Linked DNA regions of Cricetulus griseus. The protein of the gene in region 2 purifies or fractionates together with the protein of the main gene of each other region. This does not show direct contact. Links are inferred from orthologs where the notes say so. Each region holds a gene or a part of one and is shown on either strand. Other genes may lie near its edges.

What was found.
Region 1: the proteins of Klf5 (region 2) and Ep300 purify together in Homo sapiens (affinity purification with western blotting; 3 studies listed by BioGRID). This does not show direct contact. The link is inferred for Cricetulus griseus from reciprocal best matches to the Homo sapiens genes KLF5 and EP300.

What each region holds. Positions count from the first base shown.
Region 1 is NC_048595.1:378,790,131-378,793,946, reverse strand, and holds part of Ep300 (histone acetyltransferase p300), read right to left. Parts: intron 3,538-3,816; coding exon 3,373-3,537; intron 1,002-3,372; coding exon 840-1,001; intron 1-839. UniProt on the Homo sapiens protein: Functions as a histone acetyltransferase and regulates transcription via chromatin remodeling. Acetylates all four core histones in nucleosomes. Histone acetylation gives an epigenetic tag for transcriptional activation.
Region 2 is NW_023276807.1:251,130,538-251,134,453, reverse strand, and holds the start of Klf5 (Krueppel-like factor 5), read right to left. Parts: upstream 2,577-3,916; 5' UTR 2,296-2,576; coding exon 2,059-2,295; intron 1,118-2,058; exon of another isoform or gene 967-1,117; intron 1-966. UniProt on the Homo sapiens protein: Transcription factor that binds to GC box promoter elements. Activates the transcription of these genes.

The DNA.
Region 1 (3,816 bases), on a different chromosome or scaffold from region 2:
TGATTGATTGATTCATTCATTCATTTTTGGAGACAGGGTTTCTCTATGGCTTAGGAGGCTGTCCTGGAACTAGCTCTTGTAGATCTTGCTGGTCTTGAACTCACAGAGATCCACCTGCCTCTGCCTCCCTGAGTGCTGGCATCAAAGGCGTGCGTCACCACCTCCAGGCTCAGTTTTGGAGGTTTTAAGGTATAAATTGCAGGATGGTGGTGGCGCATGCCTTTAATCCCAACACTTGGAAGGCAAATGGATCTCTATGAGTTCAAGGCAAGCCTGGTCCACAGAGTGAGTTCCAGGACAACCAGGACTGTTTCACAGGGTTTCCCTGTCTCAAAAAAAAAAAAAAAAAAAAAAAAAGAATCTATATAAATTGGCATAAAGACCTACAATATATTACAGTTGACATTTTGCTTCTGTTATCCCATTGCAAAGATCAAGTCATGAATTTCTAACGCACACCCAGAGCCTGAGGATCTAGCTCCTAGATTAGACAATTTAAATCAAATCAATTACCATTAGCTTTTAAACGTAGTAATTTACTCTCAAAATTGGGCCAGGTTATTAGGAATGTATTCTGATAGTGGTATCTACCAGAATGCAGGACCTTTCTTGTCAGTGGCATGGCTGAGGGGATGGGTATCAGCCATAGTTAACACATTTTCTGTTTCACAACCAACCAAAGTCTATACACACTCCTTTCATTCTAGTCAGCCCTCAAACCACGTCTGCCCTCCTCATATTCAGCAACCTGGAGTTCTCATTATAGTGTCAGTTGGGGTGGGCAATTTAGAATATGGCCTACCACACACACCCTTCTAACCCTGAAGGGCGTCTCTTACCTCTTTATGCTTTTCCATGGTGGCATACAGTTTCTGAGACAGGTCATTAGACACATTGGGCATACCAGGCTTCTTCTTATTGCCCCTACTCAGGCTGCTCTTGTTTTTGCTGGTTTTCTTGTTATTCTTCTTCTTAGCATTTTTGCTATCTCCTTTTGTTACCTGTAGGGCAGCATAAAGGAGATATGAAAATGTTTAATAGTTAGGATGGATCTGGAAATAAGATTGAAGGTAAGAGACTCTTTGAAACAGGTATTACTATTTTAGCTGATATTTCTCTAGCTGATCACATCCACTTTTTTTTTAAACACCCAAACTAATGCTTAACTAGTCTTTTCTTTTTGTGTGTGTGTGTATAGCTGTATGAATGTTTGTGACCAGCCATGTGTAGGTTCCTTATGTATATATATGTAGCTGTATGAATGTGTGTCAACCATGGATAGGCGCTTTCCAAGGCTGTCTGATTACAAAACTGGAGTGATAGACAGTTATGAGCTTTCTGCTGTGGGTGCAGAGAAAAGAATGGACTGGGGGCCTCTGAAAGCGCATCAAGTGCTCAATGAGTACTGAGCCACCTCTCCTAACTGCCTTCTAGTAAAGACCCCAACCTTCATTTAATGGGTAGTGGCAGCACACACCTTTAATCCCAGCACCTGGGAGGCAGAGGCAGGTGGATCTCTGTGAGTTCGAAGCCAGCCTGGTCTACAGAGTAAGTTCCAGGTCAGCCATACCTACAGAGAGAACTGTCCAGAAGCAAAACAAAACATAAATAAATGAAAAGCCTCAATTTGCAGAAGTGCTGACTGATGTGTCCCAGATTTGGGACAGGAGTGAAGAATGAGTGGCACCATGGTTGGTGAACAATGAAAGCCACGAGGCATGGAAGAGGGAACCAGCAAGTAGGCTTTGGTTTCCTCTTTCACCCACCACCTATGAATGAATTTAACCAAAGGTGTGCTCCATTAATCCCAGCACTTGGGAGGCAGAGGAAGGCATTGGGGGGCCAGTCTGGTATACAGAGCGAGTCCAGGGCTAAAAGGAAAAACCCTGTCTGGGGGGTGATTTTTGGTAAATTGACAGGGGGAAAAAAAAGAAACAGGAAACAGAAACTTACATATTGTGAAATTCAGCTTACCTTTAATCTGACCCTCCTGTCTCTACCACCCAAATACCGAGATTACAGGCAGGTAACTGCCATGCTTGGCTTAAGAGCCTCTGTATTATGATAGAGAGACTTAACTTCACCTACGGTGCTTGCGTGTTTGTGTATTTATGTGTGAATACCACAGCACATAGGTGTGGAGGTCAGAGAACAATGCATGGGAGCCAGTTCTCTGCTTCAACAATATAGGTCCAAAGAGTGAACTAGGTAAGGGCCTTTACCCAGAGCCATTTTACCTACTACTTTTCTGGACATGGTTTGCTATGCAGAGGTCTGGCCTTAGAATCCACATAAACCTTTCTGCCTTTGTCTCTTGAATGGTGAACAAAAAGGTCCGTATCACCATGCCCAGCCAGCCCTGACTTGAAAGTTGAAACCCAGAAAACAGCCTAGAAGTGTTCAATAACTGACTAGGGTACGAAACCAAGTTTTTTAAAGGAGACAAGTTAAGACAGTTCCTGGCCTGCTTTTATATGGTTAAGTGAGAATCTTACATTTTAAAAGATGGCTTAAAAAGCAGAGACAGGCTATTTGGATACTGCATCTCAGTGGCAGAGAACCTGTTTAGTATCATGTCAGTCTGGGTGTGATCCCTAGCACTTCTGAAAAAATACACCAGAGAGGATATGCAGTCTATAAAGCCTGCACTAGTCATAATTTGTCTGGTTCGTTTTTTTTTTTTTTTTTTTTAAAGATTTATTTATTATGTGTACAGTGTTCGGCCTGCATATATGCCTGCAGGCCACAAGAGGGCACCAAATCTCATTACAGATGGTTGTGATGGTTGCTGGGAATTGAACTCAGGACCTTTAGAAGAGCAAGCAGTGCTCTTAACCACTATATGATTTTTTTTTTTTTTTTTTTTGGGGGGGGGTTTGACAGGGTTTCTCTGTGGCTTTGGAGGCTGTCCTGGAACTAGCTCTTGTAGACCAGGCTGGTCTTGAACTCACAGAGCCTCTGCCTCCTGAGTGCTGGGATTAAAGGCGTGCGCCACCATCACCCGACCCTGGTTTGGTATTTTTGTTGTATAGTTTTTCAGGAGTTTCAACGTCTAGGTAGGGTCTGCTATACAGCCAAGGTGGGTCATGAACTATGTGGCTCAGGCTGACTTTGCACTTCCTGAGAGTAAAATTTGTGCAAAACACTAAGTTGAAAGTATAAACTCCTAGACCAGCAGTGATGGTGTATGCCTGTCATCCCAGCATCGCAGACCTATAGACCAGGCAAGCCTTGAACCACCTGCCTCTGCCACCCAAGTGCTTTGATTAAAGGCGTGTACCAGTACTACCTGGCCTGAGAAGACCTGTCTTGAAAAAACAAACAAGCAAATTAGACATCAAGGTAGACACTGCAGAGAGAAAGAGCCCTTACATCAGTACTCTCATTGCTAGTGTTTTCTTCCCGTTTTCTCTCTTCCTCTTCCTGTTCAAGTTCTTTAATGCTCTCTTCCAGAACATTGGGCCAGAAATCACCTTCAAAGTAGGGTAACTCCTTTGCACTTGTTAATCGATCTTCAGTAGCTTGTTTTAAAATATCCTGTTAAAAACAAATGAACAAACAAATTAAAAACCCCAAGTAAATTACAAATAGGAATCTCTATGCTTTCTTTTTTCTAAAAGGTTTCATTCTATGGCAAAAATAAAAATGTCCTCCAGGGCACATGTCAGAGAGACATTGAGAACACATTTCAAATGGTACCAACAGGGCTAGAGAGATGGCTCAGGAATTAAGAGCACTGACTCTTGTTCCGGAGGTACTGAGTGGCTCACAACCATCTATAATGAGATCTGGTGCCCTCTTCTGGCATACATGCCA
Region 2 (3,916 bases):
TTATAAACACAGAGTTTTATTTTGTCAATTGTGTAATTATTGGTTAACCAAAAGTCTGTATGGCATGTCTTTAGTAAAATCACTCCCCAAATCATCGGCAGACAAAAGTGAAAGAGGCAAGGGGGTGGGGGCAAGGACAAAACATCTTCCTTTCCAACGCAATCAAGTCTCACCCCAAGAAAGATAATTCTGCAATCTAAGTACAGTATCAGAGTATGACCCAAACTGCCCCACTTCTGTTCATACCCATTACATTTAACATGTTTCATTTGAAAACTAAAACCTTTGCAAACCTTAAAAAAATAATATTTATGTGGGTAGAGTTAGGTATCTCAGGCCTAACATGAAATGTTCTCTGGCCATTTCAGTGCCTTTTGATTAACAAAAAAAAAAAAAAAAAAAAATCCAATGTTTGAAGCAAACCCTTGTATCCGCTAAAACAAAACAATTACAGGTTCAACGCTTGATGTAAATGTTGATTTTAACCAGCAGATTCGGTAATTGGTTAATGTAATAATGAAATGTTCCTATTCATTTCCCTATCTAAAACAGATCTTTAATTATCAAGGAGAAAATCATTCCCTTGGTAGACTGGTGCTAGGACGCCCGTGGGTGGGGAGAGGCTGCTCGATTGCCAGCACACTCATCAGCAAAACATTTATCATGTCCTCTCCGTGGGCCAATGCTACATTCCCCCTTCCTCTGTAAAAAGCGCAGTCATCCCTCACCCTACTGCTATCTCCCGAGAGAAAACTGCCAAAGTGAAACAACCAAGTATCCCCCAGGCCCTGATTGTTTAAGAAATAGACAATGCAGCTTCCGACCTGCCTGTCTTCCCAGCAATTCTCTCCCAACATATAAAAGCTTAATTTTTCCTCTCAATTCCTCTTGACATTGAAGAGCAGCTCAGAAAAAGGACAAAACCCAACTAAATGAAATAGTTCACAGAATAAGAAACCACTGCACCTCAGTTGGTAAACAGGAGTCCTATTTTTGCTCCTAAATTTCAAAAGAATTTCATCTCGGACCTCAGATCATTAAGATCTGGTTGTGGACGACGACGGACGGGATTTCCCGGATATGCACGACTTAAAAATAAAGATTCATGCTCTGGCCATGTGAGTCACATCTGACAAATGCCACTGTCCTCTCAAAGCACGACGACACTGGCAGACCCCGCGAAGTAGGTGCTGGGTGCAAATACACAATACGGCAAGAGGCTATTAAACCAAGCCTCTTGAAATAAACCAAACTAAACCCTTTCGTGCACTGCGCTCCCGCGGCGGTTAGTGGTTTCTGATTTTAGCTCTTCCAGCTGTTTGCATGTGGGTCTGTTTCCAATTTTTTTTTTCTTTGGGAGTAGCTAAAAGTCCCGGGAAGTTTTTTTTTTTTTTTTCTTGGGCTATATGACTCCCGTGCGTGGGCGAAAGAAACAGGCGCTTGCTCTAATTCGGCTGCTGGGCAAGTGTAAAAGCCAACTGCCAGCTTTCAACGCGACTCCGGGAGGAAATTTACGCGCACATGAAGAAAACAACACCCGTGGCCTTTTTGTACGCGTGTTCCTTTTTTAGGAAAAAAGCAGTGTTCTAATACAACCTTAGATCTTCTGACCCTAGTTTCCCAAACGGGGCCTTACAGCCCATTCTAGGGTGAGCTACAGGGGTATGGAACCCCAGGACTCCATCTGCAATTTCCACATCCCCGAAGGACGCAGGCAGGTGGACTTCCTAGGCCAGGACCATCCGGAGAGAGTGGTCAAGGTGACGCAATTTAAGTTGAGCGTGGATATAAGCTTTCATTCCCACGCAAGAAAACAGACAAGGTGCGCGTGAGCGCGCGGCTGTGTTCAGCCTCCTCTGGGCAGATCGGGGTGGGCGATGCCCCGGGCCCTCCGCTCCCCCATCCACTCCCCGGCGCCCCGTCTGGAAGCGCAGGGCGGGGCTGCCCACCCGGGCACCGGCTCCCGCGCGTCCCAGCCTGGAGCGGCCCCTGTCGCCCGCGCCTCGCAGTGGCGGGACACGCCCGAGCCGGGGGAGGGAGGCCGGCCGCTCTGCTTACCTGGACCAGCTCCTCCGAGGGCAGCCGCGGGCCGGCGGCCGGCGGCGGCGCGGGCTGCGCAGGCGGGTGGTGGTGCGCGTGTTTGAGATCGTCGCCGGGGAAGAGCGCCGCGTCGCGGGCCGGGTTCGCAGCGCCCAGCACCGGCTTGAGCTGCGCGAACACCGGCTCGTCCTGTGTGGCCGGTGGCTGGGACACGGGTCCCAGGCGGGCGCCCATGGTCAGCACCCGCGTGGCCATGGGCGGTCGGGGGGTCTACGGGCGTGGATCACCGGGTGATCGCGATTCCCACCTCGCCCGGGCTGGCGCCGGACTGCGGACTCGGCGCGGGGCGGCTGCGGGGGGGACCCCTAGGCCGGCGGCCAGCGGCTCACGAAGGCGGGCACGTAGATCGGGACTCCTGGGCTCGGCCACGCGTCACCGCCGAGGTCCTCCAGCCGCCACTTTCTCCCGCCCCGCCCCAGCGCTCGCCGGAACCCTCTCCCGCCACCTCCGAGCTCCACCAAGCAAGCTGCAAGCGCGCGTACCTGCCCCGCGACTACTGACACTTGACGCCCGCCTCTATTTCACCCAACTCCAGGGAGGCAGGACCAGCTCACCCGACTGGCAGCGTCGTGGCCAATAGCAAGGCCCCAGGGCCAGCGGCTAGCCAATGGAAAGGAAGTCCCACGAGGTCCCGCCTCCGACGGGCCGACCGCACCCCTCGCGGGCCATGAGCTTCGCGCGCAGAGCAGGGGCGCAGTTTGTACACAACTTCTCTGACAGATTGGGCCCGCGGAGCTCAGGGCGGAGGGAAAGAGACAGCGGGTGGAATCTAGGAAGAGGGGGATCAGGGTGGAGACGCGAAGGGAGATCTCTCCGAACTGTTCTCTGCCAGGATTAGAGTGGAAAAAAAAAAAGTATCGCACGTCTTAGGTGTTGTGCAAGGACCTGAAAGTCGAAAGCTGAAGACAGAAGGTGGGGGAGCTGAGGTTCCCAGTCTTGTCCAATGAGTGTGTATTTTTAAGTATACAAAATGTACTTTGGAGGAAAACAAGGGGCGGTTCGGTAACAAATGTAAAAGCAGCTCTCATTTCTGTGTTTTCAGCAGTGATCTATCTATCCCTTAGCAGATCCCTTATGGCCTGGCTAAAAGCGTAATGTCAAGCATTTTTTCAAGTCCTTGCATACCAACCTAGGCATATTTCCCCCTACGGTATTTAAGTAGCTACAAGTTTTCACAGATATTTCTACCTTCCGTCGCTGTACGTGAGGAAGAGGTGGGGTTGGCCTTATGAATTATGAAGTTTTTAATATTTAAACCATGTTGATTCTAGCCGGAGCATGGAATCTAATTTAAGAACCAACAGCCAGCTCAACTGGGTATTTAAATACACATTACATCTCTGGCTTATTTTTGCTACCACTGTAGTCTCGGGGCGGGGGGGATGGAGTTTAATATTTTCAGATGAGACACATAGCCCATCTACCTAATACGGTGGCACCATTTCCTACGAAACGGGAACTAAAGCCACAAACATTTACAGATACTCAACAGCTCTGAAAACTGCCAATCCAAATCGGTAGGAACCTAACAGTCAAGTATATTACTACCCATTTACTAGGTTGTTTTAACGGAGGGTGGGTGTTTTTTAATTTTAAAATTTTGCCAGCAATCTCCGAAGGAAACAACGTTCCTTAATCCTTAGTGTTCTTGTACATGACTTTCATGTGGCTTATTGTGAAGCCAGAATAATAAGCTGGGACAAAAATATCTGTAATATTTCAACCTATGTACATATGTTGACAGCACATATTACCTACAGAGAGCACACTGGCCATTTCACAGTGAAGCATCGATTAAAAAGTTCTTAAGGAAAAA